4 linked regions of the Oryctolagus cuniculus genome follow. Each later gene encodes a partner of the first gene's protein in a complex. Links are inferred from orthologs where the notes say so. Each region holds a gene or a part of one and is shown in the gene's direction. Other genes may lie near its edges. The genes, in order: RAB35, RUSC2, DENND1B and ACAP2.

Region 1 (7,640 bases):
TCTGTCAGTGCTTCCCAGCAGGGTGCAGACCAGATGGGGGACTCAGCGTGGCAGACACAGTTAGCCCTGTGGCCCTGAGGAATGCTTCGGGCTGGGCCGCGGACCCTGGGGTGCCTGAGCCCTTTCAGCAGCTGGAGCCACAGCCCCTCCTCTGCTGCCTGAAGTCAGCTGCCGGGTGGGACGGGCAGGGCAGAGGCTGGGCCAGCTCCCCATTCTACTGGGGAGACTTGGAGGAGTTACTCAGCTGCCTGAGGCAAAACGTATTTTTCCAGGGTGCCCCTGGCTGCTCGGCCTGCTGTCTATGGAAGCTGAGGGTTGGCTGTCTCCCAGGGTCCCTGGCTGTGGCCCCCATGAGGCAGGAGGGAGCTCGGTGCCCTGTGGTGGTGGCTGGTGAAGAGAGGCGCCCTGGGGAGGTCAGCGGTTTGCACGGCAGGTCAGTCGGGGTGCGGCAGACTCGGGGCATTCAAAAGAGAAAATGAAACTGCTGCTGTGAGCCTCACGGGCTGCCGTCCCCCTCCCAGCTCGCTCTCAGCAGCCGAGGTTTGCTGGCCGGGGTGGAGTCAGGAGGGAGGGAAGCCCCTGGCCCTGGAGTCCAGCTTGTCAGCACTTAGTAAGTAGTGGCTAGAGCGCTCGGCACGGTCCTAGCCCGGTTAGTAAGCGGTGGCTAGAGCGCTCAGCACGGTCCTAGCCCGGTTAGTAAGCGGAGGCTAGAGCGCTCGGCACGGTGCCCAGCCCAGAGCAGAGTTCAGCAAGTGATAGTGATTCCTGGTGGGGATGGGAATGGGGTCCTGCAGCGCCTCCGCCTTCCGAGCCACTGCTCCAAGCCCCTGACTGCGTCCCCAGGCTCATTCTTTGCTCCAGATACAGCAGAAGTGATGCCCACAGCCAGCTGTCAGCAAAGGAGCGGGTGAGGCACTTGCACTACTCCCGCTGCACCCCTCCCACCCCAGTCGTCTGCGCCCCACACCGGCGGCAGCCCTGCTGTCTTGGGGCTGGAGCCACAGCAAGACAGTTCCACTGTGCTGGCTCTCCCAAAGCCAAGGTGCACCGTAGCTCTGGAGCAAAGCTGTGGGCAGAACCCAGCACCTGGGGAGGGTGGAGATAGCCAGGGCAGGGTGGGGGTGGGGCTGACCCCCGGGCACAGCGAGGCTCTCTGCTTGCTGCAGCCTTTGGGGTTGCCTCCTTCTTACCTGTCTGGGAGTGCAGACTGAGGGAACCTTGGTGACGAGCACACCCACACTGCCTTGCAGGCACTTCGTCCCCCTTTTTCCTTCCAGCTGCCCCAAGGGTTAAGTGCAAGGTTCCCTGTTGTAGTGACGAGGGAACGGGGGCTGGTGAGGTGGACACAGGAATGCGGCCATGGTCCACAGCCTTTTGGGGATGGAACCAGGGCTGATCTTGGGCCTTGGTCGGGCCTTGGATGTGAAGCGTGTGCCAGAGAGCTGAAGGGCACGGATGAGAATGGAGCTGTACCCACTGCCTGGCAGTCCCACCCTCACTCAGTTCCCGTCTCGGCCTCTGCACTGGGCTCCGGGCAGGGACTGATCGCCTCAGAAGCTGGGAGGTGCTCAGGGCAGGCAGGTGGCCACCTGTGCCCTCCTGGTTTGCATCCGTGGTTCTGGCAGCTTTAGGGAACCGCTCTGAGGGACAGCACAGGGTAGTTACGTGGTGTTGGCGGCAGCAGTGCTTTCTGGTCTCTGGCTGTCGCAAAGGAACAGGTGGCCCTGGTCCTCTTCTTCATCCTGGGCCTGACGCCCTTCATCCGAGCTCCCGGGACGCAGGGGCTGAGGAGGAATGTGTGGCTCCTCCTCCTTCCGCACCCTGCTGGGCCGGGCTCTGTGCACTTGGAGGATGGCACAGCTGGAAGTGCCCGGCTGCCGCAGGTGCACACTTGGCCAGGACTTCTTGGAAAGGCATCTCTCTAAGTCAGCCTTGAGAAGGCAGTGGTTCCTGAGTGTCCAGAGAGGACAGGGAAGATCTGACATCAAATACAAAAATCGCCTGAATTCTAACAGCAACAGCTTCAGAGAGGTTTCACGCTAGCAGCAGGGGTCGGCCCCGGTCACAGGTGTGAGGAGCCCGTGGCTGCCCAGGCGCCAGCCACAGGGACCTGTTTGTAGACACACAGACCTGGTGAAGTGGCTGCTCATGCAGGCTGAAGCTGACACACTCTCGCCCTCCAGGTATTACCGGGGGACCCACGGGGTCATTGTGGTTTATGATGTCACCAGTGCCGAGTCCTTTGTGAACGTCAAGCGGTGGCTTCATGAAATCAACCAGAACTGTGACGATGTGTGCCGAATACTAGGTGAGGCCGGGCCCCATGAGTGGGGATGGTGAGATGGGTGGCCGGGGTGCTCCTGCAGGGCTGGGCTGACCACTTTTTGCCTTGAAGTGGGCAACAAGAATGACGACCCTGAGCGGAAGGTGGTGGAGACAGAAGATGCCTACAAATTTGCTGGGCAGATGGGGATCCAGTTGTTTGAGACCAGTGCCAAGGAGAACGTCAACGTGGAAGAGGTGAGTCTGGCTGAGGCCCTGGGCGGGGCCTGCATGCCTCCTGGTTGACCCAGCCTGTTCTGCCACACAACCCTCCCCTCCCCACTCCTGGCCTGCTCGGGGCATCTAAGTGAGCAACAGAGCGTCACGGTAAGCACCGCTCAGGGTGTGCCTACTGTGTGTCAGGTACTGGGCCAGGCCTTTTCAAGGTCTTAGTGTGTGTCTCAGTAGTCCCGAGGTGGGCTGGAATTACTCCCATGTCTCAGGTAGGGGTGGTGGGGCTCCAGGTGTGTCAATAATGGATGGAACAGCACCCACCTGTGAGGGGCTGAGTGAGACTGTTCCCATGCTAAAGCCACGCACAGCCCACTCCAGTCCCCATCTCCTGGGCCTCCTTGTCCCCGGGATTGCCACGCCTTCCTGTGTAGCATCCTCTGTGGCCTTGGTTTCCCTGCAGAGATGAGGTTGCTTTCCTGTGGCCCCCAGGCCCCCTCCAGCAGAGGCGGCTTCCCCTCCGCACCTCCAGGCCTGCTGGAAAGCCGCTGTGATCCTGTGGGAGCGAAGCCAGACCTTTGCCACAGGCTCAGCCTGCTGCCACTCACTGGTCTTAAGGGGAGCCCTGCCTCCTGGCGTGTGGTGTTGAGAGGCCCCAGAAGTTGGGATCCCCACTGCATGGGGGACACAGGCCACCCAAGCTCCTGAGACAGGCTAGGGTCAAAACCCAGGATGTAAGCTCTCCGAGCTGTGGACTGGGGGCAGTGGGAGCCCTTTCTTGCAGGTTGTGGTGAGTGGTAGCAAGTGCTTTGCACACAGCGCACGGCTCAGCTTTTTCGTACCTGCTGCTCTGGCTGAATGCAGGGATGTGGGTTGTAGGTAGTTCTCCTGGGTCCTGGCATTGGAAGGTATCAGGTGGTTTGGGAAAGGCCAGACCTCTGGGCCTCAGATGCCATGGGGTGGCAGGCTGAGCCCACCCTGGCTCTGTCTCCCCCAAAGACCTTTGCCTTGTTGGAAGATTCCAGCGGAAGGGGTTCTCTTAAAAGAAAGGCAGGAAAATCCCCAAGGTTGACTTCCCCAAGTCTGCACAGTTCCTGGTGCTTTGATGTTGTTCCTTTTTCGCTTTAAAATAACTCGCCACCCCCTTCTAGAAAGGGCACTGAGGACACACAGGTGCTCCCTGCCTTAGGTGGGGTGATGTCCCAGGACCGCAGTCAGCACTGCACTGAATGCCTAAGTGAACACGCTAGGTGTGCGGAGCAGCACGGCTCACTGCAAAGTGCATTTTGCCCTCGTGAAGGTGGAACTGCCCAGGGCCCATGTGGCCAGCCCTGGAAGAGACAAAACCCAGAATTCCAAGTATGGCTTCTACGGAGTGCATATTGCCTTTGCACTACTATCAGGCCGAAAAATTCTAAGTGGAACCGTCATTAAGACGGGGACCACTGGTACGTGTACAAAAATTCACAAGTACAGACAGAGCCGGGCCCGGGAGGCAGGGAGGCGTCCTCGCCAGGCCTGAGGCCCTGCCTCTGTCTCCCGCACAGATGTTCAACTGCATCACAGAGCTGGTCCTCCGAGCCAAGAAAGACAACCTGGCCAAACAGCAGCAGCAGCAGCAGAACGACGTGGTGAAGCTCACGAAGAACAGTAAACGAAAGAAACGCTGCTGCTAATGCCCGCCTGCAGAGACTGCACTGCGGCCCCAGCCCGAGGCCCGAGGGGCTCCTCGGCGGACGGTCTCAGTTCCGTGCCGTTATTTAAAGAATTCTCTCCACGTTTTTGTACCGGGAGGCGCCATCGGCACTTCCTCCCCTCCCTGAGTGCCAAGAAGGCGTTGGACGAGCCCGCCCTTCCCTCCTGGTGCCCTCCTCCCCAGCCAAGGCGCCTGGACCTGGCGAGGACGCTGCCAGCCGAGCGGACCGAGTAACCCGTTGTACATAGTGTAAATTGCGTTAACCAGCTGCACACCCTCGTCCTGCTCTGGCTTCTGCCTCCTAAATGCCAGCCTGCTGCGACAGACCCTCCTGCTGCCCTCCCGTCCACCCTACCGCCAGCAGCTTCCTGAGGGGACAGCATCACGTTCTGGCCACGTCTTTGGCCAACCTGGGTCAGTGGAGTGGGCTCCACGTTGCTTATTCTCTCCTACAGGTGTCAGCTTCTGTCCCCGGCCTCCAGGCTTTCCCCGTTCTCTGCGGCCTGTGCCAACCCATCCTGACCCCAGACCTGCTCTGGGAGCTGGGGCAGCCTGACCTGGACGGAGGCCCTGCCGTCTGCTTTCACAGAGGAAGTCAGTCCTGCTGTTGGCCAACAGGTTTCTTGTCCTGCCTCCTAGACCCTTCTGAGCTACAGACCCAGGGGAGCCCAGCTTCTCAGCGATACCAGCATGTCTCCGTCCCAGCAGGAAGGCAGGGCTGCGTGTGCAGATGGGGCGCACAGTGGGCATTAGACTACTTTAACAGGTAAAGAAAATGAAGCCAAATCAAGTGAATTAAATTGCTCACAATTATTTTCTGTCCCTGAAATTTGGCACAGCAGCAAAGGTTGTGGCCACTGCATTTTTGGCCCAGGGTTTTTAGACAAAGTAAATGGCTTCCTGTCACCGTGGGGCTCTTGGCTGTTTCTTGGGAAAGAGAGGGCTGCCACTGGTGTCAGGAGACTGTGACATGGGGCCGTGGTGTCAGGGCTGCCGGACAGCAGGGGGATGACACGACCACCGACAAGAGCAGTCCGACCACAAAGGTGGTGGGAGGCCATCTCCACTGGTGGGGAGGAGTGGCACAGGGCAGTGCCCTGGAGGAAAAACCATTGTGACCTGCCCCCGACTACTGCCCCTCTGTCCCTCCCCTCTCCCCTAAAGGGATCACGTACGCTGGGAAGAATTGATTTCAGCACCATGATGTGTTTTATTAGATTTCCTTTCCTAGGCAATTTTCAGGCAAAGCCCTCACTGGACAATCACATTGCAGATCACGCTGCAGATTCTCCATGTTAACACTGTGGATGGGTTTGTAATCAATAAAAACTGGGGGTTTCTTCTCACCTGTTTCTCCACTTGTCCATACTGCCAAAAACGGGGGTTCTGTGCTGCAGGCTGGGGTTGGTGAGCCGGGCCTGGGAAGGTGGGTGCGGGGTGCTGCGTCTGGCTCAGGGGAGCTGGGATCAGAAGTGGGGGTCCTGTGCTCAGGACTGTCCTAGCTGGCTGTTGGCCTGTGGTGGCCTCTGAGCAGAGTCAAGCAGCAACAGGCGGTCGTGGGAGCCTCCAGCCCTGGCTCGACACCCATGTAGCTTGTGGGAACTGGACGCCCAGACCCAGGTGGCAGGGGTGAGCGTGGGATGACAGTGTGCCTGTCACACGGAGGGTTACACGCATGAACGGGATGGGGGGGGTGGGGGACTCGGGGCTGGACCGACGTCCTGGTGGACCGGCTATGAAATTCATGTCAAACAATACAACTTTTAAATGGTTTGCTAGGATTATTTCTGTATTGAAAGTTTCTAATTATGCTTTTTAAAAAAAATACTAAAAATAAAGGTTCAAGCTGCCAAATTTTCTTGCAGGGTCTGTTTGCTCTCCCTCCACTTGTGCCCTGGGCGGGCCTGGCTCCTTCCCGCCCATTGTGTCCAGCTCTTGTTCTGGGCCTGAGTTTGGCGCAGGTGCCTCTGGAGGCCCTGGACCACGTGCAGAAGCCAAGTCCGTTTTCTCCGTGAACACGTGGTCGAGGCTGTGTCCCCTCATTCTGACGCACTGGCACTGGCTGGAGCACACGCGGGCAGGTGCCAGGGGAAGGCCTGTGCTGATTCTCCACAGGCCGGAGGGTGCGGCAGAAGCCTTCGCCTCGAGTAATGCTTCCGGCTGGAAGTTTCTGCCACGCTCTAGGGCCCTGCTCTGGCCTGGGAAGTGGTGCTGGGCGGGAGGGCTGCCTCAGTGCAGTGCAGCTCTGGCCAGGAGCCCAGGGCCAGGCTGGACACGGAGGCCGAGCCAGATGAGAGGGTGCAGTGACCCACCCTGGCAGACTCCATGAGGGGGTGGCCTCCAAGGGGCAGGGACCGTGACTGCCGCCTCCATAGCAGCCGGGGGGGGGCTCTGACAGCTGCTGGAGCCCAGACAACCCTTCCCACATCCAGTGACTGAGGCAGGAAGCTCTGTAGAAATTCTTTTTATTCTTATTCAGACTATTTTCAAAAGAAGCAGTGGTGCGCTGTTTATCTAAAAATATGCCTTTATAGATTTATATATGTATATTATAAAATCCATACATGTATTTACACGGTTGCTACATACAAAATCCCAGCACTGTGGTATGTACATATCTATAGGTACATTCTTTCCGCTCTTCCCTGCTGTGCTTTCCCCGGGAGGGAGGGAGACCGACTCAGTGGTGAGCAGCTGGGCCCGTGCAGAGAAGGTGGAGTGGCTGCCGCGCGAGGAGCAGAAGCAGCAGGGTACAGGCCTGGTCCCTCCAGGCCTGGTGGGCAGTGTCAGGAGGTACCCAGCAGTGGTGCCAACGCTGCCCTCGAGGTGTGGGGCGGCGGACCACAGATCCCTCTGGGACCATCCTGTGGCCTGGGCTTGCTCGGCTGCGCCAGGAAGTGGCGTGAAGGGGTAGGAGGCTACAGTGGGGAGGCCAAGACCCTCCTGGCCCTGGCCCAACAAGGACCTGTGGCACACACTGCTGGCCCGGCCCTGCACCGGGGTGAGGCTGCACTGCAGGCAGCTGGGGAGGGGAGCCAGTGGCCAGGGCCCTTCTCCCCGCGGCTCGGGAAGGCCTCAGCGGAGCCCAGGTATCCCCAGCTCTTAGGCTCTGAGGCCTCAGGCGTGGCCTCCTGCCTGCAGAGGTGCATGCACGTGGGTGAGGGGCCGCCTCCCCCACTGGACTCCCTGGGTCAGGGCCTGGGCAGGAATGGAGGCTGAGGCCTTCGAGGTGCAGACCTCCTGAGGCATGCCGGGAAGGGCATCCCTCTGTTCTGCTCCCTGCCACCTAAGACAGGTGGCAGCGGTGCCTGCGGCGTGGGCCGCGATTCACCGGTCCGAGCAGCACAGCCCTGTCTAAGGAGCTGCTTTGGGAGGTGGTCTGAGCCCTACTCAGTAACAGGATCTGGGGGAGCCCAGGCTTGGGCTTGGCCGGGAGGTGAGGACAGGGCTC
Region 2 (7,640 bases), on another chromosome or scaffold:
TGGCTCTTCCATCACCAGCTGCTCGGAGGAGCACACCAAGATAAGTCCCCCACCGGGCCCTGGCCCAGAACCAGGCCCAGGCCAGCCTTCTGAGTATTACCTATTCCAGAAGCCCGAAGTCCAGCCAGAGGAACAAGAGGCAGTGGGTTCCTCGGCAGAAGCAGCCGCTGCCATGAGCCCCACTATCCTAGAGGGACAAGTGTACACGAATACGTCACCCCCCAACCTCAGCACGGGACGTCAGCGCTCCCGCAGCTATGACCGCAGCCTGGAGCGCAGCCCTGCTGTCCGCCTGGGCTCACTGGAGCGCATGCTGAGTTGCCCAGTACGCTTGAGTGAGGGCCCTGCAGCCCTGGCAGGGCCTAGCTCCCCACCCAGGAGGGTCACCTCCTTTGCTGAACTGGCCAAAGGCCGGAAGAAGGCTGCAGGCTCTGGCTCCCCCCCACTTCGGGTGAGCGTCGGGGACACCTCCCAGGAGTTCTCACCCATCCAAGAAGCCCAGCAAGACAGGGCGGCCCCACTGGATAAGGGCACTCACTGTAGCCATAGTCTACCACCCATGCCCTTGGGACCAGGCATAGACCTACTCGGTCCAGAACCCTGGTCCACCCAGGTCTGCCAGGGCCCCCAGTCCAGTGAGACGCCACCTTCTGGCCTCAGAGCTGCTGAGCAAGGCCCCCTGGCTCCACTGATGGATCCAGGGCTTGCTGTCCCAGGGAGCCCAGCCAACAGCCATACCCAGAGGGATGCAAGAGCTAGAGCTGACGGTAAGGAACCTAAAGACTAGAGATTACCAGGATATATGCATGGCCTCCTCTGTGATAGGTCCCCGCTAACCCTTCCATCTGCACCACTTAGAGACTCCTCAGTCTCCATCTATTATCTTTCCAGTCTAGGGTGTGCTATAGTATAATGGAGTAGGAACAGGGGGAGGAAGATAGAGAATTGAAAAAAATACACCAAGGAGATAAAAATCAACAGGACTTAGAGACTGATGTATTGAAAAAGGAAGTATTCAAAAGGCGGTGATTCTGAACCTGGATGACTCCTAAAAAGATGATGGTAGCTTGAATAAGGTCTGGTTTTTCTTGTTTGTTTTTGTTTATTTGTTTATGGGAAAATCCCAAGAGGAATTTCTTTTTTTTAATAACTGTTTATTCATTTTTACTTATTTGAAAGGCAGTGACACAGAGAGGAGAGGGAGAGCTCTTCCATCCACTGGTTCACTCCCTAAAGGCCTGCAGCAACCAGAGCTGAGCCAAACAAGAGCCAGGAGCCAGGAACTCCATCCAGGTTTCCCAGCTGGGAGGCAGGGACTCAGTACTTGAGCCGCCATTCGCTGCCTCCCAGGCACGTCAGCAGGAATCTGCATGGGAAGCAGAGGCAGAGGCAGGGCTCCATCCCAGACACTCTGATATGTAGGTATCCCAAGCAGCAGCTTAACCCTCTGCACCACAACGTCGGCCCTGTCAGATAGCATTTGAACACAGAAATAGACTTACTGAAAGAGGAACAGGGTTGTTCAATTTTGGAAATTTGTAATTTTCAGTGCCTAAGAGACCACCAAGGGATATGTCTAACAGGAAAACCACACTGGATACCAGTGAAGTTCATTCTTTGATCAGTAATTTTCACCACTCTCCAAGGAGCCCGAGACCTGACCTATGAGCCGTAAGCTCCAGGTAGCCCCTCCCAAAGCCAATTCTTTCCCTGTTTTATTAAGTTGTAAGAATTTCACCTCTGTCCTCAAGGAATTTCAGCTAAAATTGGAAACAGAAGAGGAAACAAAGTTGAAATGCAGAGTTGGCAGTGTGTGGTACTGGTGGATGAGAAGGGATATCTAGGACTGAAATGTCAAGGAAGAACCACTTACACAGTTTACGTTTAAGCCCAGTCTCACAAGATGATCAGGAATAGGTTTTGTGGAGACTTGTAGGAAGAACCCTCTGGGCTGATAGAGTCACAAAGACATAGGGCTTGATGCTTTCCAGAGGCTACAAATACGGTAATTTGGTATAGTCATGGAAGAATGGGGTAGAACCCCTGAAGGGTTTTAAACTGGGAATTACTTTTTTTGTTTGGTGGGTTTTTCCTTTGCTTACCAGCATATTTTGATTTGCATTTTAGAAAGATCATTGGTTAGATGGAAGATGGACTAAAAGAGATGTTTCCATGTAGATTGGAAAGTCATTGGAATAAAAGTAGTAGTTGAAGCTAAATGAATGGGTGACAGCATCCAGGGAGAGTGTATGGAGTTATAAAGGGGACAAGGCTGGGGATACTGTGACTCAGGGGGTGATCTGGTCAGCTCTCAAAAAAGACCAGGAGAGAATAAAGTCACAGAAACCAAAAGAAGAGAAAGTTTTTTTAAAAAAAAGAGGTTCAACAAAAAAAGTTCTAAAGAGAGATCATCTAAGATAAGGCTGAAGAATCCTGAAAACAATTCAGAAGTATCTCAGAGGGTTTGGGAAGGAGGGGATGGGGGTGGGGGTAGAGGGCAGGGGCAGCAAGTTCCCGGACAGCTGTGCCCATAGCCTTAGGTTGGGTCTGCTGGTTTCTCAGAGGGGTTTAAAAACCACAAATGTACTTCCAGAGCTCACAATCCATTAGAAAAGGCCACACAATGAAGTACACAGTGGAGACGTCCTTGGGGAAAGGGGAGGAGAGGGAGTCTCTGGGGGAGAAGCAGAGCCTGGGCCAGAGCCCTTTAGAAGCGGCTCCTTCTCAGACTGCAGGGCCTGCTGGGAGCAGCTGGTGGGATGCTGTGCTAGCATCCTCAGGGCAAGCAAGTCCTGATCAGAGGTGGAGAAGGAGCGTAAAAGTGGTTTTTTCTATGCGATGAGACTTTTCCCACCAAGACGCTGCTGTATGACAGAGCTCTTCGGTAATGCACTACAGGGCTCTTTTCTTGATTTTGTACCTTTTTTTTTTTTTAATTAAAAAAAGTGAAAAGAAGAGGATGAGGAGACAGTAAACTCAAATGGATCTGACCAAATTTTGAAAGAACAAAACTAATAACAGAAGACAAATGTGAAATTTGGTTTCTAAGCTGTCCTGAGCTGACTGGGGATAGACACTGGGTCAGCTCAGCCTGACAAATTGAGTTTAAATAAGTGGAGAGGAAGAAGACATCCAAGGGGGGAAAGGCAGTGTGCTTACAGAGGGGAGTGGGAGGGCAACAGCAAGGCTGACAGGTGTAGAGATGTGCCATGTGGTGCTTCCGGAAGCTAGCCAGTTATGTGCCGAGTCTAGGTCCACGAGGCTGGGCTGAGTGAGGAGTGATGCTGAGGATTCAGCCTTTAGTTCCTGCCGTGCCCCAAGCTCTGCTCTAGGCACTGAAGACATGGCAATTAGAATACAAAAATCACAACTCTTTTGGAGTTGTTATAAAGAGTAATAAGCAATAAACACATAAAGGATAATTTCTCATGGTGAAAAGGACTACAAAGAAAATGAAATGGAACAATGGGGTAGAGAGCAGTCTGCCACAGGGACTGGGCTGCCCGGTGACAGTCTTATTGAAGGGGTGGTTTGTGAGCTGATGCTGAATGATAAGATGTCAGGCAGAAACAGCAGCAGGTCAGCAGGCTCTGAGAAGGTAATGAATTTGGTGTATTTAAGACCAGAAGCAGGTAGGGCTGGAGCCTAGCGAGTAGGGAGAGTAACAGAGTTTGCTCTTTAAGAGCTGACTAGGGATGGTAGGAGGGCTTAGTTTAATATGTCCCCTGGGAGTGATTCTGACCCACTTCCCTAATGGGTTAGGGTCCCATCCACTGTGACTTGTTGATGAAATAAAAGATAAGGGACAGGAAAACCCAGCCTGAGAAGTGTATGTGATAAAGACACTGGCCCGGCCGGCACCACAGCTCAATCCTCCGCCTTGCGGCGCCGGCACGCCAGGTTCTAGTCCCAGTCGGGGCACCGGATACTGTCCTGGTTGCCCCTCTTCCAGGCCAGCTCTCTGCTGTGGCCCGGGAGTGCAGTGGAGGATGGCCCAGGTGCTTGGGCCCTGCACCCCATGGGAGACCAGGAGAAGCACCTGGCTCCTGGCTTCCGATCAGCGCGGTGCGCCGGCCGCGGCAGCCATTGGAGGGTGAACCAACGGCAAAAGGAAGACCTTTCTCTCTCTCTCTCTCTCTCACTGTCCACTCTGCCTGTCAAAAAAAAAAAAAAAAAGACACAGGCCCAAACTCAGACTCTGGCTTACACAGAAGTATAGCTCTGCCACTTTCTAGTTGTGTGACCATGAGCAAATAACTTAATCGCTATAGATTTCAAATGTCCTGATCTGCCCAGTAAGAATACTGATTCCTGGCATAGTACAGTTATTGAGCTACTGGGTTGGTGAGCCACACCCAGGATTTTAGACCATGTGAGTGCTTCTAGCGCCACCTTGTGTTCATTCCAGCATTCACCATGTGCGCAGTGTCAGAACCACAATCGGTCCTGGAGTCCTGTATTTAGTTCTTAGGGACGTGGACCTGAAGACCGGCTGGAAGAACAGGAGGGCTGGCGCCCTGCCTCACTAGGCTAATCCTCCGCCTTGCAGCGCTGGTGCACCGGGTTCTAGTCCCGGTCGGGGCGCCGGATTCTGTCCCGGTTGCCCCTCTTCCAGGCCAGCTCTCTGCTGTGGCCAGGGAGTGCAGTGGAGGATGGCCCAAGTCCTTGGGCCCTGCACCCCATGGGAGACCAGGATAAGTACCTGGCTCCTGCCATCGGATCAGCGCGGTGCACCGGCTGCAGCGCGCTGGCCGCTGCGGCCATTGGAGGGTGAACCAATGGCAAAGGAAGACCTTTCTCTCTGTCTCTCTCTCTCACTGTCCACTCTGCCTGTCGAGAGAGAGAGAGAGAGAGAGAGAGAGAGAGAAAGAAAGAAAGAAAGAAAGAAAGAAAGAAAGAAAGAAAGAAGAGTTCTTGATTTGCTCAAGAACGAAATGTGCTGGTGGGGAAATGAGCAAAAATCCTGACTCGGACCCCAAGTCTCTAGGCCACAGAGAGAGAAAACGTTGGTTCTGCCATCGACAGGAATGAAAGTCATTGGGAAAAGGGGGCAAAGGCACGGGATGAGCTCTTTTAAGGTACAATGTGTCCATGAAAGCAGAGCCCGAAAGCAGAGTGATCTAGAGCTCAAGTGGAAGGGCAAGGCTAACGCTGTGGGCCTGGGAGACACCTGTAGGAAAGCCTGGACGGGAGTTGGGCAAGGGGAAAGTGTAAGACTTGAGCCGTAAGATAACACCATCTTTAGATTTGAGAAATGAAGAGGTGTGAAACAGCAGGATTGCAAAACACAGGAAAGAGTCTCCCAAAAGAAGTGGGCAGCAGTGGCATGTTCCGCGCGCTGGGATTAGCCTTACCCCACTCACTTCCTGCAACCCAGGTCCTGCCTGTCTTGCCCCTTCCCCAGTGGGCCTCGTCTCTTATCTCTGCTTCTGTTTCTTCTCGTGTGGCTTCAGTGTCTGCCTATCTGAATCCTCTCCATCCCTGTTGCTACAGGGGGTGGTGCTGAAAGCCGACCAGTCCTTCGCTACAGCAAGGAGCAGAGGCCAACTACACTGCCCATCCAGCCCTTCGTGTTCCAGCACCACTTCCCCAAGCAGCTGGCCAAGGCTCGGGCCCTGCACAACCTCTCCCAGCTCTACAGCCTCTCGGGCTGCAGCCGTACACAGCAGCCTGCCCCACTGGCTGCCCCTGCTGCTCAAGGCCCAGCCCCAGCTCCCTCCAGGGAGCCACAGGCGTCCACACCCCGAACCTCTGGCCGAGGTGCCAGGAAAGCTGGGCCTGAGCCAGAGACCTCACGGCCATCACCCCTGGGCAGCTACTCCCCCATCCGGAGTGCTGGCCCCTTTGGGCCCAGCACTGACTCTTCTGCCTCCACTTCGTGCTCCCCTCCCCCAGAGCAGGCCACAGCCACAGACAGCCTAGCCCCATGGAGCCACCCCTGTTCTGTTGCCCGGCCTGCCACCTCCCAGCTGCCACAGCAGGAAGATCAGAAGACACTGACCTTGGCTGAGTACCGACTCCATGGAACAGGAAGCTTGCCACCTCTGGGCTCCTGGAGATCTGGCTTCAGCCGAGCAGAGAGCCTGGCCCGGGGAGGCGGTGAGGGCAGCATGGCCTCCAGGCCCAGTAACGGTATGCGCGTCACTGCCACCACCCCAAGCACTTCTGTCTTTATGCTCTGACTTGGGGGTCAGAGATTAAAATGTTCGCACCTCTGTCCCCAGCACCTGTGGATAATGTCCACATAGTCTTAACTCTGGTGTTTCACATGGGTCCATTGGGTGGATATGAAACCTTGTCTCCTACTAACTCTTGCCTATCTGTCTCTTCTGCTAATCTGATCTACTTCCAGCCAACCACCTATCCCCTCAAGCCCTCAAGTGGCGCGAATACAGGAGGAAGAACCCACTAGGGCCACCTGGTTTATCAGGCAGCCTAGACCGAAGGCCACAGGAAGCGCGCCTGACCCGAAGGAACCCCATCTTTGAGTTTCCTGGCTCTTTCCCAGCTGCTGGCCATCTGAACTGCCGGCTGAATGGTGTGTGGGCAAGGTTCCCAGACCCTGCTGTGGTGGGGAGGGCTCAGTCCCAAAGGAGCATGCTGGAGGCCCTGAACTTGATTTTTTTCTCTTCTTTCCAGGTCAAATGCTGAAGCCATTACCACTGACCTGCCCTGACTTCCAAGACCCCTTCTCCCTGACTGAGAAGCCCCCAGCTGAGTTTTGTCTGTCCCCAGATGGCAACTCAGAGGCCATTTCCATTGACCTGCTTCAGAAAAAAGGTGACTAGAACCCTGAGCTCAGGTCAGAGTTGCTGCTATCACACTACTCACCTATACATGCTGCTGCCCTACTTTGGGCATTTAAGACAGGGAATATTTCCCTGTCTTAAAATTCAAGTGCCAGGAAGGAGTTGGAGAGCACTGGGCCTGGAGGCAGTCACGTGGGTACTGTTAGTGTACCGTGAGTGAGCCAGGGTCCTTTCTCAGATGCCGAACCAGGCTCTTCCCTGAGTGAGCTAAGCATGATGGGGGAGGAGGTGGCATGTGCCAGAAAACTGAGTGCTCTCGGTCAAGGGCCCGGGCCTGCAGCTTTGCTAAGTGTGCTGGTGACATTTAGTAAGAGGAAGACAGGCAGGGAAGGCAGCCAAGTGCCAACTGAACCAAGGTTAGAGCAGTTTCAGTGAGCTACTGAAGGAAGAACTGAGCATAAATCACAAATGTGGGCTGAACAGAGGAGCCTGTGAAACGAGAGAAAGGTGAAGTGGAAGTCCCTTGCAGAGAAAGGAAAGAACCTTGGGCAGGACGCGAATGGAGGGAGAGGGGTGCAGATGCAGTACAGTTATGTGTCTTGGAGGAGAGGGAAGTTGAAGGAATTCATGACCAGTGGCCTCTGTTCTCTGCAGGAAGTAGGACGAAGGGCTGAAGAAGAGGGGCAAAGGTTTGGCATGGCAACTTGAGGGTGGAGCAGAGGGTGCTGACAAGGCACATATCGAAGAATCACCCTTTTCTGGCACTTGTGTGAGGGACCTGGATTATCTCCAAGAGCAGGGAGTAGCCTAGTTTCTCCGTAGAAAAGGCTAATTGTTGGATTGATCTGGGATTGGAGTCAGAGGGCTAAGAAGTAAGAAAGTTGAAGGTCA
Region 3 (7,640 bases), on another chromosome or scaffold:
AGTTTGAATAGCACCTGTAATTAAGGAAGAACACCGTGTCCTGGGAGCTAGGTAGGACTTCCAGCTATTGATCTGTGTAAACCCAGCTTATACTGTCAGGGGAGAAACAGTCAGCTGCCAAGCTGCTTTGTCACCGACATAAGCTGAGAAAAGATTTTTTTTTTGTCTATACTGTTTATACACTAGTCTATAGACCTGCTGGCTGGTTGAATTTTAAAGAGTGCGGAGGTTTAAAGACTTGTCCCCTGAGGGATGCTTCTGCCAGTTGGGAAGCGAGCTGAGGCTGTTTTGCAGAAGTGTGTGCATGTGTGTTGCTTGTGGAAGAAGGGAGGGGGAGGGTGTGAAAGATGGAGCAACTAACTGAGATGCATTCTTCTTAATTTGAGTCTTAAAATTGATGTGAAATGTATTACTACTTTGGACATATTTAGAGACAAATGTTGAGATTTACATGTATATTCTTTATTATCAAAATTATGTGGTCAGTTTTGCAGGAGGATATGTGAATAATGTTCGTATGTGTAGTAAATATGGTATATGGCTCTACTTTAGCAGCACAAGATAAAGATTAAGCAGTGGTGAAATGAAAATGAACTGTTCTCATTGGTAATGAACACTTTTTCAGCCTAACTAATTTATTTCAAGCTTAATGACTCCTTTAATTGTGCTTAACAAAATATTGTCAGTAGTAAAGTAGTTAGGGCTCTCTAAATATGGAGTTTGTGCCCATACTTATGAAGGTGCATGTTCATAGAAAGCATTTTGCCCTAAAGGGCAAAAAATGTTTATTTATATGGTGCTTTTCATTCTGCTTCTGTGAGTTAAGGCTCTTGAAGCTTTCTTAGGTGTTGGTACTAGAATTTTACAAGGTCTTAATTTTAATTGATATCTTATTAAAATCTTTATTTTAAATGAATGCAAGAAATTCTACTTTAAAGCACTCAATACTATATGTATAAACAGAGCTTAAATATTCAGATCCTGATTTCCTTTTATGTAAGCTGTGTTGGTAGAGGTGGTAGATAAGGTATTTTTTTGAGAATGCTGCTACATTAAGATATTTGCTGTTATTTCTTTTTAATAGGAAATACATTCATAAATTTCTGCCTTGTAAGCTTTCCTGGCTTTGAAATTGTATAATATTGTGCTTAATTCTAAAATTAACTTTTGAGTCAGAGTTAATTTTATATTTTCTATGTGTAGCAAAATAGATAGTTTTATTTGGTGGCAAGTGGTTGACAGTTATTAGCATTTTGTTATAATTGTTGGTGCATATGCTCTCTGAAAGGTTTTACGATTATTTTATAATGACTATAAAGTTACTGAAGTTTTAAAATCAATCAGATTAGTTTCTAAGTTTAATTTGATGATTGATTTTCATATTAAGCAAATCTTAAGTGTAAGCACATAGAATAGAAGCTGTGGTTTAATTTAAAGTTTTGTTTTTATGTACACATTTATGTGAGAATGTTTTAAGATAAAACTTAGTATCAAGAGTTGAAACATACTTGTGTAATTGTATTTATTTAGCTATAGAAAATCTTTTTTTTTTTTTTTTAAAGCATTTGTCTACAGGACATAGTGGTGGTGGTAGACTTCTCAGTAAATTCATTCTCCTGCCAACTTCATTCCCTTTTCTCTGCCTGCATTTTAATTGAAACAACATTTATATTTTTGAGCCAGGATCTGTCAGAAGTCCCTATGGCTAGTCTGTAGTACAAGTAGCAGCAGCCGTGGCTTACCCATATGGTGCGGTGCTTCTTGTAAAATCCATATGGCCTTGTTGAAGGGAATCCCAGCGGGGATGTGAAGGGTGTTAATACCCTTCAGGCCAGGCCTTTCCCTCCTGGGGCTCCTGTGGCATTGTCAGTGCAATCTGCCAAAGCCCAAACGTAATTCCTTTTTAATAATCAATTATTTTAGTCTAGGAACCTGTGCTATTTTTCTCAAGGAAAAAAAACTTTTTTTCATAGAAAATGTCTTTAAAAAAGTTTTAACTACATCTTTTAAAAATGTTCTAAAGCTTTTTTTTATTTGCATTTGTAGGAAGTACTACAGACTGTGCCAAAGTTCTGTTTCCCCTTTGACGTTGAAAGGTATAGTATAAGTCATTATTTAAAATAACTTTAGCTCATTTTAGTGCACACTATAAAATGACTTTATGTGCTTTTTTCTAAAATAAAATGAAATGTGTGTTCTCTTCGTTGCTTCTAACAAAAAGGGCTAGAGATTCAAAATTAAATAATATTTGTAGTGAAGAAACATTTTAAATCATTTATATCTTTTGTTTTCTCTGGTGGCCATTTAGGAAAAGTCTGAAATGTATTGTCAGTAACATCTATTTCTTTGCATTATCTATCAGTTACACATTGTAAGCACAAGGAAAAATATTAATATGTCCTTGATGTCCTTAGAATTGTGTCTTTTAAAATTAGATATATCTATCCTGGTTTCTGTCTCACTTCACCCTAATTGAAAAGACCATCTGTGTGATGCTGTAACACTCCTGGGTTGATGTCTTCCAAGAATAGCTTTATAGAAATACTGCAATATTGTGGAAGGCTATAGGGAAACCCTGCTAGCAGTTTGAAAATCTCATTATATTTGTATTTTACTGAACAAATACTAAATGAACTACTTTTGTGTAGTTGAGATTTAATAGAATATATAGCCCTTTGAGCATAATAACATCATTTATTGTTTTTCATGTAATTTTCACACCCTATTATCAGTTTTCTTAAAAGTGTGGTATGAGGGGTAGATAAAAGAAATTTTATTTTAGGGAAATATTTTGCTAAAGTAAAGATTAATGAAAGTCTAATATTTTAACCATATTGAAAACAAAGACTTCCACCTGATTGGCTGATGAATAGTTATAAATATTGCTGGTAAATGATATTCCTTCTTTTACCTTATTTCTGGGGAATCAATTGTGTTCCCTGCAACCCCTGCCAAGTTACAATTTTCCAATTGATAATAATGATAAAATAAAGGAAGTAAAGATAAAAAGATGTTATTATAAACCTTGGACAGTGGAGGGCACATTAGTTGTTGGTGATTTTTTTGAAGTTCATAAAAGTTTTTAAAGAACTATTCCTTAACATTATATTTTAAAAAATACTCATCATTTGAGATGCAAGATTTCCTGGCTAAACAGTTTGTAGTATTGGTATAATGTTTGTAATTTATTTCCATTTTCAAAACCAAAGCTGAAGTATTATGGATTATATAATTCCTTACCAGGAAGTCATAAGATAGTTTACCTTAAGGTTTCATAAGACTAAATGCAGTCATAAAATATCCCAAAGGCTATCAAAATGCTATTACTGAAACTACAGAAATAAGAAGCTAGACATGATGACTGAGCCCTTTTGCTCAACCCTAGCCTCGCTTTCCCCAATTACACTAAACCTGATTAGATAGCAAATCATGTTGCTGCAGCTTCTAATGGCAGCCTCCACCAATTCTGTTTAATTGCTTCTTATGTTGACATTCTCACCCAATAAAGTACCACACAAAATACTCTTGGTATTATTTCTTGGAATTCTCTTTGAAGGCTACTAACATGTTAAGGAATAAATTTCTAAGTACAAAGTAAGAATATAATTTGTATTTTAAAAAAGCTCACTGGCTAAGCTTTAAAGATTTTTAGCTAATCTTGAACTGTCATATGTGTCACACTGAGGTGTAAGAGGCAAGATAAATCATTAGATGAAATATTTATATTTAAAAATATATGCACATATTTTCTGGCTATAATCTTGACATCAGACAACCAAAATATAATATCCATAATAATTCAGCTTTGGTTTTGAAAATGGAAATAAATTACAAACAAGATACTATAATTTATTATGATATGAGACTAATGATTTAGTTTATACATTTTCTACTCAAATGAATGCCACATATAAATATGTTTTTGCTTGTTTTTCTTCAAGAAAATTACCATAAAAGGCTTTGTATTTCCTAATCTTCCTATATTTTAGGGTGTCTCAAAATCAAGTTGGCCAGCACTTTACCTTTGTACTGACAGACATTGAAAGTAAACAGAGATTTGGATTCTGCAGGCTCACATCAGGAGGCAAAATCTGTTTATGCATCCTTAGGTGAGTATTTGTTGTTTTAAAAAAAAACAAAATTGATGCAAAGTAGATTACTCTCTCTCTCGCATTTTTTATATATGGGATGCAAGAAAAAAAATCACTTCTTATAGTTCGTTTTTTTCCTTTATAAATCCAAGTAATTTGAAAAAGAATTTTCCTTACTTTCACCCATCCACGTACTGAACAGGCCTGACCCTGCTTAGCTTCCGAGATCAGATGAGATGGGGCAAGTTCATGGTGGTATGGCTGTAAACTCCCTCCTTTCTATATACAGAATCCGTTGGGCTTAAAGACTTACCAATAACATACTCTAATTTTGCTTGAAGGACCTGATTCTTTTAATGATTTTTTTTGTGGATGATTTTTGAAAGTTAAATATTTATATGAGTTCCAGTAATGTGGGTTTTGCACCTTATATAGGTTGCACAAAATTCAATTAAATTATAGTATGCCCTTTTCTATCAATGAACCAGAACTTGTATTTTTTTTTTTTAAGATTTATTTATTTACTTGAAAGAGTTACACAGAGAGAGAGAGGCAGAGAGAGAGAGAGAAGTCTTCTATCCACTGGCTCACTCTCCAGTTGGCTGTAATGGCTGGAGGTTTGCCAATCCGAAGCCAGGAACCAGGAGCTTCTTCCCGTCACCCAAACAGGTGCAGAGTCCCAAGGACTTGGGCCATCTTCCGCTGCTTTCCCAGGCTATAGCAGAGAGCTGGATCAGAAGAGGAGCAGCTGGGATTCCAGCACTACAGATGGCGGCTTTACTGGCTATGCCACAGCAAGGCCCCAGAACATATATTTTTGAAAGTGAATTGCTACTTAAATGCAAAGGTTGCAAACTCTGATTCTAGGCAAAAAACTGTTTAGATATTTTTGTCTAGCCCAATGGGTATTTTAAAAAATATAAAACCTTTTGGTAACCTTATAAGCTTTAGGAAGTTTTATATAAAGTTTATATTTCTAATTCCTTCTGAGAAGTGGAATATCTGCTACTTGTGTTCCTGCACTCTCCAGTGGCTGCAGAAAGTTAGAACTTCATAGCAGGCCTTTAGCTGTGTAGTGAGCTTGTAGGTTTCCACAGGTCCTTCCTGTCCTGCCTTCATGGCTGACGTCATCTGCTTTGATGAGCAGGAGGTGAGAGCATCTCCTGCCTGCAGACTTTGCACCCCAGGGACTCGCTGTTGAGGAGGAAAGAGTCTAAATGTTATTGTCCTTGTAGTAAGTCTTGAAAGCAGGCATTGAAATGTGGTCCATAAAAGTAGCGAATATTTGGGGGGTGAACCAACAGAAGGAAGACCTTTCTCTCTCTCTCTCACTGTCTAACTCTGTCAAATAAAAAAAAATCCAATTAAAAAAAAGTAGGACTCTAAACAAGTCATATTGAGTACTGGTCAACCTAGAATCTATAGAGATGCTAATAGGAAAAGCAATAACATTTGATCTATAAATTAACATATTACAAAGAAAACTTTGATATAAAATTGCTGTTTTCTCTATTGGCTATTTACCTGTGTTTTTATTATTCATTGAGAATGAAGTTATTCATTTACTCAGGACAAACTTAGATCTGGAGAACTTGTTTTCAGTCTTTATTCAAAAGTAAATGCTTAACTGCTTTATAAAGTGATATAATGCTAATATGCCTTCATTCTTTCTTGAGGCATAAATCTTCCATTTCAATAACAATTGTATTTAAAACATATTTTATTCAAAGCTCATTATGCTTTAAATTTGTAGATTGATTTTTCTAACTTGGAACAGGTTGGCAGGGCAAAGGCACAGGGATGACAGAGTGGGGAGTGGTTGGGAGAGTGCCTTGTACCACTGTGCTTCAGGCTCGGGTTCAAAAGCTACAGCTTGAAGGGGAGCATAATTCGGGGCACTGTGCCTGATGATTTATCCTGGAAGAAAACCAAAGCTGTGTATGATTTCTTATTTTTCTCTATGAATTTTGGAAACTTTTCATTAAAAGACATTCACGTTTATAGAAAAGTTTCAATAGTTTAATGAACTCTTGCATAAACATCACCTAGATTTATCGGTTGCTAACAGGCATATCTCTGCTCACTCTCCCTTTCTCTCTCATTGTACATACCGACCCACACATGAACAAATCTTTCTTTCTCTCTATTGTTTTTCTTGGCACATTTGAGACTATCCCAGTAGTCTGTGTGCTGGGGTGTTCTTTGAGAACAGCTAATTTAGAGCATAGACTATAAATTAAGACTAAACAGAGAATTCAGATATTATGGAATTCAGCAATTCAGAAAGTTGTTGTAGATAAGTAAATATCTATTCCTAAGTTATAATTAGTGTTTGGAAAATCTCTGTAAATGCTGTAGTGAGAGGAATAATGATGTTTTGGGTCCTGGGTTTTCCACCCATTTTGATGGTCTTTCACCACATTATATTTGTCTTTGTAATTATTGAAAGGAATGATACAATTTTAATTATAGAAAATTCTGAATGTGCTTGAATAATAAAATTAATGTTTTGGCTAATGGTTAAGATGCCCACATCCCATATTGGGGTTACTGGGTTTAATTCCCAATTCTGCCAGCTGACAGTAGCTTCCTGCCAATACTGACTCTTCAAGATCCTGGTGATGGCTAAAGTAATTAGATTCCCGCCACCAGTGTGGAAGAGCTGGATTGAGTTCCTAGCTCCTTACTGTGGCCTCAGTCCAGCCCTGGATGTTGTGGCCTGTTGGGGAATGAACCAATGGATGTGCATGCCCTCTGTCTCTGCTTCTCAAATAAATAATAAAAGTTTAAAAAAATATATACTGTTGACTTTTAAGCAAATGATGGTGGCAGGCAAAGTTTTTACATACCTAACATGGAATCCTGAAACCTGAAAGACTGGTGTATTTGAATACACAATAATGAAAACTTCTGTTTGGTGACAAATTTATAAAGAAACTTTAAAGCAAAAAAAATAAAGTGCTAGAAATATGTTTACAACCACTGTAACAGAGTTAATAGCCAGATACATAATAATTGTTACAAGTTAATAAAAAAGAGCCCAATAAAAAATAAGTAAAACATCTGAATAAGTTACAGAGGAAATGTGGATAGTACATTCACCTGTAAATGATGCTCACAGCCTTACTGAGATATGAGAAATAAGGCTATCAAGATTGGCAGAAATGGAAATGTTTTTAAAATATCACAAGAAGTGCACATCTTTACTATCTGTAGGACTATAAGATGGCATCACCTTTTAAAGGGAAATCTAATCATATGTATCAGATTTTGGAACTCTCATACTCCTTGACTCAATGCTTTCAGTTGTAGGAATTTAAATCCTGGAAATAGTCGCAAGACGAAACAGAGAAGTATGAACAAAGTTATATATTACAACATGTTTTATAATAGCAAAAATATGTTAATTGGCTAGATGTAGTCATACGTACTTCAGAACATCATGTTTTATGTAATAAATACAATTATATCTGTAAATTGAAAAAACATAAATTACAAAATGGTGATGTGACTGTGTCTCAATAGCAGTTGATTAGGTGTGTTATGGTA
Region 4 (7,640 bases), on another chromosome or scaffold:
AAACTAACATTCCTTCTGTTTTCATGAATAAGTGTTGTGTTCAGTGCTGTATTTCTTGAGATGGCTGGAAACGTTCAGCTTCTCGAATCTAGTGCAAAAACATTAGTATATGGTCAGAAGGTGAGAATTAACTTGATTTCTGTATTATTACACTGAAATTCTTTCTCTGAATGATAATTGCTTTTATCATAGTTTACATTATGAAACATGTTCTAATAAAACAAATTATATTTCTATTTTTGTAACATTTAAAAAAACTAAAACTTACAGAGAAGTTCCAAGTACAGTACAAATAATATTTCCCCTGAACCACTTGAGAGTAAGGTACCAGCATGATGCCCCATGCATCATTGTTTTAATGAGTGTGTCTGTCCCATCATCTAACACATTCTTGGGTATTATCATGGTCCAGTTGTCAAAGTCAAGAAATAAACATTAATATATCACTATGATCTAATTTCAAAATGTCATTAAAGTTTTAACAGATTTTTCTAGTAATGGTTTTTACAGCAAAAATAGCCAGTCTGGAAGCATAAGTAGCATTTGGTTGTCATGTTTCTTAAATGTCCTTCAGTCAGGAATAGTTCTTCAGTCTTACCTTGACCTTATGCCCTTGGTAGTTAGGAAAATGACAGACTAGAGCACCCCTCAACTTGCCTGATGTTTACTCATGAGGTTATTCATCTTTGGCAGGAATGTTATATCAATGATATTGTTGTGTCCTTCTAATTGCATTCTCTTACATGGCACACGTTTTGATTTATACCACTGATGATGATGTCAATTTTTATTACTTGGTTAAGGTGATATCTTCCTAGGCTTGTCTACCAAAGGTTATTTTAATTTTTGTTGGTAGCATGTATCTTGTAGGAGAGGTATTTTGAGACTATGTAAATATTATGTTCCTCATCCAATTTTAAAATTTAATTTATGACAAAATTTAGTTCTATTAGCATAAACTCCTACTTTATTCAAAGTGTTATAACCCATTATTATCGTTATTTAGCCACTAGAGCCCCTGTCTTGTGTATTCTTTTGATTTGTCCCTATTAATCTAAATATTTCCTTACTTCCTACATGACAAGATGTTTCAGGTTCATCTTGTGCTTTTTCTGCACTAGCCAATGAAATCATCCATTTCTCCATGAAGTGTCTTAGTTTCTTTTGGTGGAAAATGGTATTTAGAAACCAAGATAAGGTTTATAATGTATATATATACACACACGTATACACATTTACATTTACATTTATATTTATCTACTAAAATGAAAACCATTTCTGTGCCTATTGGTATCTCCAGTTCCAATCTGATAAACAGAATTCATTCTAGTTTCTCCTTTCCCATATAAATAACTTTATTCTCTATAGTGATAAATCTGGCTTCCATTTATCTTTAATATACTTACATGTATCTTAACTCTGTAGATTTTGACCCATAGTCTTGACTGCCCAGCCCTACACATAGACTGATACCTCACACTAGGTTGTACTCTTTGAGTGCTCCCCAACTCCCCGCTTAGGCCTCCATTTCCTTGCTCTTCTGTCTCCCTGTGTAGACATCCTCCGTACCCTGCTTGGGATCCAGCAGCATTCTCAGGATTTCACTCGTCTATAGATAAGTTTCTCACCTGGCTTCATTGTCTCTGGAATACCTTGTCTCCATACTTAAGCTTGCTAGACCCTACCTAGTGGCTGTTGAATTCGCTTTGATCACTTTGTTAGGAAAGGCAAGACGAGCCAAAAATATGTTTTCTTTTTGTATATATGAAGATTTATTTATTTATTTATTTGAAGGGCAGAAACAGACAGAGACAGAGAGACAAAGAGAGACAGAGAGAGAGAGACAGAGACCTTCTACCTGCTCATTCACTCTCCAGATGGCTCCGATAGTCAAGACTGGGCCTGCCTGAAGTCAAAAGCCAAGAACTCCAACTGGGTCTCCAATGTAAGGGTAGCAGGAACTCATGTACTTAAGCCATCATCTGTTGCTTCCCAGGTGCAGTAGAAGCGGAGTAGTCGATACTTGAACCAGCACTCTGATATGGGATGTGGGGGTCTTAAGCAGTGACTTCACTTTTTGTGCCATATACCCGTCTCCCAAATTATTTTTCTAATGATTTTGTACTAAACTGCTGTCTTATTAAGGTTAGAATGTTTTTATACCAGAAGACTTTTTTATAGGCTTATCTTTTATTGCTTGGGATTTGTGAACCACATCTTTGTATTTGATCATTATTTCTATGTATACAGCAATGCTTATAAAATACTATTTCTTATTGGTATAGACTTCACTATACACTTAAAAATTAACTTTTTGCTTATTAGACATCTTTTGCTATTTTCCTGGTTTACCTAATAGCCCTTGAAACTTTAGACTTTGTATTTTTTGATTCACTCTATAATTGTAATTAGGCAGTAGATATGTTCTTTAGTATTTAACTATATAGGACTGTACCTTTTCTAGTTATTCACTACATTAATTAAAATAGCTTACTTATAATTCATTGGTAAAACAGTGTATAAAATAATAATATTTATTTTATTATTGAGTCTTGATAGTCTTTTATCTATTCCCTTTGGCTCCCATTCTGCATGATAGACTAGAATTTCCTTTCTTCTCTATCTTTCTATTTTGTTTATATATTCATTGTGTATGTTTAATTTTTAATATATACATGTTTATATGTTTCTCCCTACAACACTAAACATCCATTGATTTAGGAACCTGCATCTTTTCATCCTGGAATCTCCAGTGCCTGTAATAGTGCCCTGTTTTATCCCAGGATAGGCCTTTAATTTATTGATTGGAAGCCTTTGTTTGGAGCATGTAATGTCCAACTTGATATTACAATCTTTTTTTTTAAAGAGCAATAATTCTTAATTCTTTTAGAAGCTGGATAAGAAATCATCTCCATCCACAGGAAGCCTAGATTCTGGAAATGAGTCAAAAGAGAAATTATTAAAAGGAGAAAGTGCACTGCAGCGGGTCCAGTGTATCCCTGGGAATGCTAGCTGTTGTGACTGTGGTCTGGCAGATCCACGGTGGGCCAGCATCAACTTAGGCATCACCTTGTGCATTGAGTGCTCTGGGATTCACAGGTGAGTATACCTGCTCAGAGTGAGAGACTGCTTTTGGATAAACATACGTTATTAATTATTATGTTCCATTTGTTAGAGGGTCTTTTTCACTTCTCTAATTTAACTATCATTTTGTATCTTTTGTAAAGTGGATAAAGTTCTGGTTTGTAAAGTGCTTCTGAGAACTTTTGTATACTAGTTTTTTTTTTAAGATTTATTTATTTATTTGAAAGGCAGAGGGAAAGAGAGAGAGACAGACAGACAGACAGACAGACAGAGATATCTTCCATCGATTGGTTGAGTTCCTAAATAGCCACAATAGCCGTGGCTGGGCCAGTCCAAAGCCAGGAGCCAGGATCTTCTTCCAGGTCTCTCATGTGGGTGCAGGGGTCCAAGGACTTGGGCCATCTTCTGCTGCTTTCTCAGGTGTATTAGCAGGGAGTTGGATCAGAAGTGGAACTGTGGGGACTTGAATCGGTGCCCATATGAGATGGTGGCTTAACTTGTGTCACAGCTTTGGCCCTATGCACTATTCATTATAATTAATCAGATGATCATCCCTGTTTAAATGTGTGTTGCAGGCTGTATGAGAACCCATTCCACTTTAAAATAGAAAAATAATTTGTATAAATATGCAAACTGTGCCTTGATAGTTTTATGTATTAATGCAGTTTTCTTCTTTCCACTTAGGAGTCTTGGGGTTCATTTTTCAAAAGTGCGATCTTTAACTTTAGACACCTGGGAGCCTGAACTTTTAAAGGTAAAATAAATGTTACATAAAAATATTTTGTATTTTCACATAAAAGTGAACAGTTTAAAAATTTATGAGTTTCTTATGCTGACAATGAACTTCTTGTACTGGAAAACTTCTGAGACTGGAAAATTGGTGTTTTTAATAATAGATTTTTAAAATCGCTATGTTTATGTAGCATTGTTAGCTGCAAGTCAGTTTGTTCTTTAAGAAAATCAATGTCCCTAAATTTTTGTGATTTTTTTTTTTCAAAAAATCAGATTCTGTGCCATCTTTTGTAATTAGATTCATATTAAAAATATAAAAGATAGGAGAGAACTTCTCCAGAAGATGAATTAATGTTGGTTCAAAATTATTTTGAAATCCATGTATAGTTTTTCTATGATATATATTTTCTTTTGATTCCATTTCTCCCTAAATTTTGTGAAGTACTTTCTTGTTGCTTTAGTAAGTGACATAATGGATTAGTATAGCATATTGGCACCATTGGGTTATTTTAGCATAGGACCATTTGCAAATTGACATTTGTCAGGATAGATGTCACCAAACCAGGCCTTTCTTTTCTCCTCTGTGTCTGAGGATTCATATCCGTGGAAATATTTTTAATACTTTTAGATTATTAGTGGATTTCTGATAAGATTTACAGAATACCTTACAGTGAATTTATTTCCTGTCATCTAGTTTACCATATTGTAGAAAGTAGAATAGGATTAGAGTATATTCTACATTTATTTCTATCAGAAAATGGTGTTTTTAATCTGCTTGTGTCTTTATTTCAATCTATAGATAAACTGGTACCTTTGTCACTTAATGTAAAGTAAATTTACTTTGTGGAATTATTGTGTCATTGAAATTTCTAAATGAAAGTATGAAAGTGATGAATTGACTTCTCAGCTAAAACCCTATTTAGATAGATTCCATGAATTGTTGTGAACTCAAAGGGGAAGAACATAGGGGATGAGGGACAAAAATCTAATTCCTGCATTAGCTTTGTGTGTAGATAAGAATTTGGTGGATTCAGATGAGAAATTTAGTTGAAGTACATTTTTGAAAAAGATTTATTTATTTTATTTGAAAGAGCTATACAGAGAGAGGAGAGGCAGAGAGAGAGAGAGACAGAGAAAGAGAGAGAGAGAGATGTACCCCATATGATGGTCCACTCCCCACCCAGCTGTGCCTATCCGAAGCCAGGAGCCAGGAGCTTCCTCTAGGTCTCCCATGCGGGTGCAGGGGCCCAAGGACCCAGGCCATCTTCCACTGCTCCCCCAGGCCACAGCAGAGAGCTGGATCGGAGGTAGAGCAGCCGGGTCCTGAACTAGAGCCCATATAGGATGTCGGCGCGTCAGGTCAGGGTGTTAACCCGCTGTGCCACAGTGCTGGCCCTGAAACACATCTTGGTATCTTAAAAAAATGACTGAAACTTTTAAACCAAATATTTGGAAATACTTTTAAATAAATTATAAAGAGAAAATGGTTTACATCATTTTGACTTGTTGAAGAGAACTTGTCTGACTATAGGCTTCTTTGTGTTCAATTAATTCACCAGATGAGAATCATAAATAGCACTGTGCTATCCACATTGGAGGGATAGAAAACTATTAGAAGATGGTTTCAGATAGTCAAGAAGCTTTCAGTCATGTTGAGGGAGTGAATGCAAATGTAAAAAAAGAATTAGATAACAGCTGTAAGCATCTAATGATCTTTTTTTTTACAGATTTATTTTATTTATTAGAAAGACAGAGAGAGAGAGATGGAGACAGAGAGAGAGGTCTTCCATCTGCTGGTTCACTCCCCAGATGGCCGCAACAAGCTGAGCTGCGCCAATCCGAAGCCAGGAGCCAGGAGCATCTTCTGGGTCTCCCACGCGGGTGCAGGGTCCCAAGCACGTGGGCCATCTTCTACTGCTTTCCCAGGCCACAGCAGAGAGCTGGATTGGAAGAGGAGCAGCCGAGACTGGAACTGGTGCTCATGGGATGCTGGTGTTTCAGGCCAGGGCTTTAACCCACTGCGCCACAGCGCTGGCCCCAGCACCTAATAATCTTAGTTCAAACTCTTGATTCCAGCTTTGTGCTAATGTACACTCTGAGAAGGCAGCAGGTGATGGCTCAAGTACTTGGTCCCCTGCCACCTCTGTGGGAGACGTGGATGGAATTCCTGGCTCTTGACTTTCTCCTGGCCCAGTCTCAGCTATTGTAGGCATTTGGGGAGTGAGCCAGCAGACCAGAGTTTCTTTCTGTCTCTTAAATAAATAAATAAGCAAACAAACAAATGAGAGAATGATTAGTGTAGAGGGTTCTAAGAAATGAAGTTGTTTGAGTCAGGACTTTCTAGAGGAGAGTGAAATTAATCCGTCAAGTGGATGAGACAGTTGTAGAGCTTCAAAAAAATAAAATTTACATTGTAAAAAAGAAACCTGAAAATAGGGCAGTAAATAGAATCTTAAGAAAATTCCTTGGGAATATATGAAAGATGGGCTAGAGTGCCAAATACCGAGATTAGGTTTCCATTGGTAATTCTTTATTCTAGAATTTAAGGGGAGGAAAGAAGGAAATCTCTCTGTTTGGGCAACTATGTTTAGGAACAAAAAATAATTGGATACAGTTAAGGCAAGTTTTATAAGCCTTTAATTATTTTTTAATTAAAATAACATGTATTAAAGACAAGCTAAAGGTAACAAGCACACAAAAGGAAAATTACCTCAAGACAATAACAACCATCTTCTCTCTGTTATTATTTTGTCAAATATTCTTCCCAACTTTACTGTTTATAATATCTTTTTTAAGTTTTTTTTTTTTTTTTTTTTGACAGAGTGGACAGTGAGAGAGAGAGAGAGAGAGAGAAAGAAAGGTCTTCCTTTACCGTTGGTTCACTCTCCAATGACCGCTGAGGCCGGCACACCGCACTGATCTGAAGCCAGGAGCCAGATGCTTCTCCTGGTCTCCCATGCGGGTGCAGGGCCCAAGCACTTGGGCCATCCTCCACTGCACTCCCTGGCCACAGCAGAGAGCTGGACAGGAAGAGGGGCAACCGGGACAGAATCCGGTGCCCCGACCGGGATTAGAACCCGGTGTGTCAGAGCCGCAGGCGGAGGATTAGCCTATTGAGCTGCGGCGCCGGCCTGTTTATAAGAAAATTATAGTAATATACAAAATAAAAATTTTGGAAAATAGGGAATTCTCATTATGTTTTACTTTATAGAATTGACTTTTGAGTGAAATGCCCTCATTTTATAAAATTCTTAATTTTATTTAAGGTATACAAATTACATGGATTTCATATACAGATTTAGGAATGTAGTGATATGTGGATATCCAGTTCTCCCAGCATCATTTGTTGAAGAGAATGTCCTTTCTCCAGGGATTAATTTGAGCTCCTTAGACAAAGATTTAGTTGGTTTTAAATATGTACAGTGATTTCTGGAGTTTCTGTTCTCTTCCCTTGGACTACATGTCTATTTTTATGCCAGTACCAGGCTGTTTTGATTGTAACTGCCCTGAAGTATGTTTTGAAATCTGGTATTGTGATGCCTCTGGCTTTATTTTTGTTGTATAAGATTGCTTTAGCTATTCCAGGGTCTCTTGTGTTTTCATATGAGTTTTAACATCATTTTTCTAGATCTGAGAAGAATGTTATTAATATTTTGATTGGGATTGCATTGTATCTGTAAATTGCTTTCTGTAGTATGGATATTTTAATGATATTGATCATTCCAATCCATGAACATGGAAGATTTTTTCCATTTTTTCACATATTATTCTATTTTTTTCTTTAATGTTTTGTAATTTTCATCGTGGAGATCTTTCACCTCTTA

Evidence for each region.
Region 2: the proteins of RAB35 (region 1) and RUSC2 are in contact, whole or in part, in a crystal structure (PDB 6IF2), measured with the Homo sapiens proteins. The link is inferred for Oryctolagus cuniculus from reciprocal best matches to the Homo sapiens genes RAB35 and RUSC2. Residues at the interface, in NP_006852.1 of Homo sapiens: Asp4, Tyr5, Leu8, Phe9, Lys10, Ser22, Leu26, Asp30, Ile38, Thr40, Val43, Asp44, Phe45, Lys46, Ile47, Lys58, Gln60, Trp62, Thr76, Arg79, Gly80, His82; in NP_001129471.2 of Homo sapiens: Val997, Lys998, Asn1001, Asp1005, Val1008, Thr1013, Arg1015, Lys1020, Glu1119, Glu1155, Leu1158, Leu1159, Gln1161, Pro1162, Leu1165, Leu1166.
Region 3: the proteins of RAB35 (region 1) and DENND1B are in contact, whole or in part, in a crystal structure (PDB 3TW8), measured with the Homo sapiens proteins. The link is inferred for Oryctolagus cuniculus from reciprocal best matches to the Homo sapiens genes RAB35 and DENND1B. Residues at the interface, in NP_006852.1 of Homo sapiens: Lys10, Leu12, Ser17, Ser36, Tyr37, Ile38, Thr39, Thr40, Ile41, Gly42, Val43, Asp44, Phe45, Gln60, Trp62, Thr64, Ala65, Gly66, Arg69, Phe70, Arg71, Thr72, Ile73, Thr74, Ser75, Thr76, Tyr77, Arg79, Gly80, Thr81; in NP_001182144.1 of Homo sapiens: Met1, Arg4, Glu43, Ser47, Phe51, Val72, Leu73, Thr74, Asp75, Ile76, Glu77, Ser78, His211, Glu212, Arg213, Arg214, Gln242, His243, Ile244, Ile246, Leu249, His252, Leu253, Asp255, Tyr256, Cys258, Ala259, Pro260, Met261, Pro262.
Region 4: the proteins of RAB35 (region 1) and ACAP2 are in contact, whole or in part, in a crystal structure (PDB 6IF3), measured with the Homo sapiens proteins. The link is inferred for Oryctolagus cuniculus from reciprocal best matches to the Homo sapiens genes RAB35 and ACAP2. Residues at the interface, in NP_006852.1 of Homo sapiens: Arg3, Asp4, Tyr5, Leu8, Ile41, Gly42, Val43, Asp44, Phe45, Ile47, Lys58, Gln60, Trp62, Phe70, Arg71, Thr72, Ile73, Thr76, Arg79; in NP_036419.3 of Homo sapiens: Val715, Ala718, Asn719, Ala720, Asp721, Val723, Thr724, Arg727, Leu728, Arg730, Met731, Glu734, Met735, Ser738, Glu748, Thr749, Gln751, Arg755, Asp756, Gln759, Met760.

What each region holds. Positions count from the first base shown.
Region 1 is NC_091452.1:16,142,597-16,150,236, reverse strand, and holds the end of RAB35 (ras-related protein Rab-35), read left to right. Parts: intron 1-2,183; coding exon 2,184-2,308; intron 2,309-2,395; coding exon 2,396-2,520; intron 2,521-4,040; coding exon 4,041-4,169; 3' UTR 4,170-5,535; downstream 5,536-7,640. UniProt on the Homo sapiens protein: The small GTPases Rab are key regulators of intracellular membrane trafficking, from the formation of transport vesicles to their fusion with membranes.
Region 2 is NC_091432.1:198,510,960-198,518,599, forward strand, and holds part of RUSC2 (AP-4 complex accessory subunit RUSC2), read left to right. Parts: coding exon 1-767; intron 768-5,493; coding exon 5,494-6,132; intron 6,133-6,352; coding exon 6,353-6,538; intron 6,539-6,639; coding exon 6,640-6,780; intron 6,781-7,640. UniProt on the Homo sapiens protein: Associates with the adapter-like complex 4 (AP-4) and may therefore play a role in vesicular trafficking of proteins at the trans-Golgi network.
Region 3 is NC_091444.1:13,952,321-13,959,960, reverse strand, and holds part of DENND1B (DENN domain-containing protein 1B), read left to right. Parts: intron 1-2,046; coding exon 2,047-2,096; intron 2,097-3,989; coding exon 3,990-4,109; intron 4,110-7,640. UniProt on the Homo sapiens protein: Guanine nucleotide exchange factor (GEF) for RAB35 that acts as a regulator of T-cell receptor (TCR) internalization in TH2 cells. Acts by promoting the exchange of GDP to GTP, converting inactive GDP-bound RAB35 into its active GTP-bound form.
Region 4 is NC_091435.1:84,277,189-84,284,828, forward strand, and holds part of ACAP2 (arf-GAP with coiled-coil, ANK repeat and PH domain-containing protein 2), read left to right. Parts: intron 1-2,890; coding exon 2,891-3,099; intron 3,100-3,768; coding exon 3,769-3,838; intron 3,839-7,640. UniProt on the Homo sapiens protein: GTPase-activating protein (GAP) for ADP ribosylation factor 6 (ARF6). Doesn't show GAP activity for RAB35.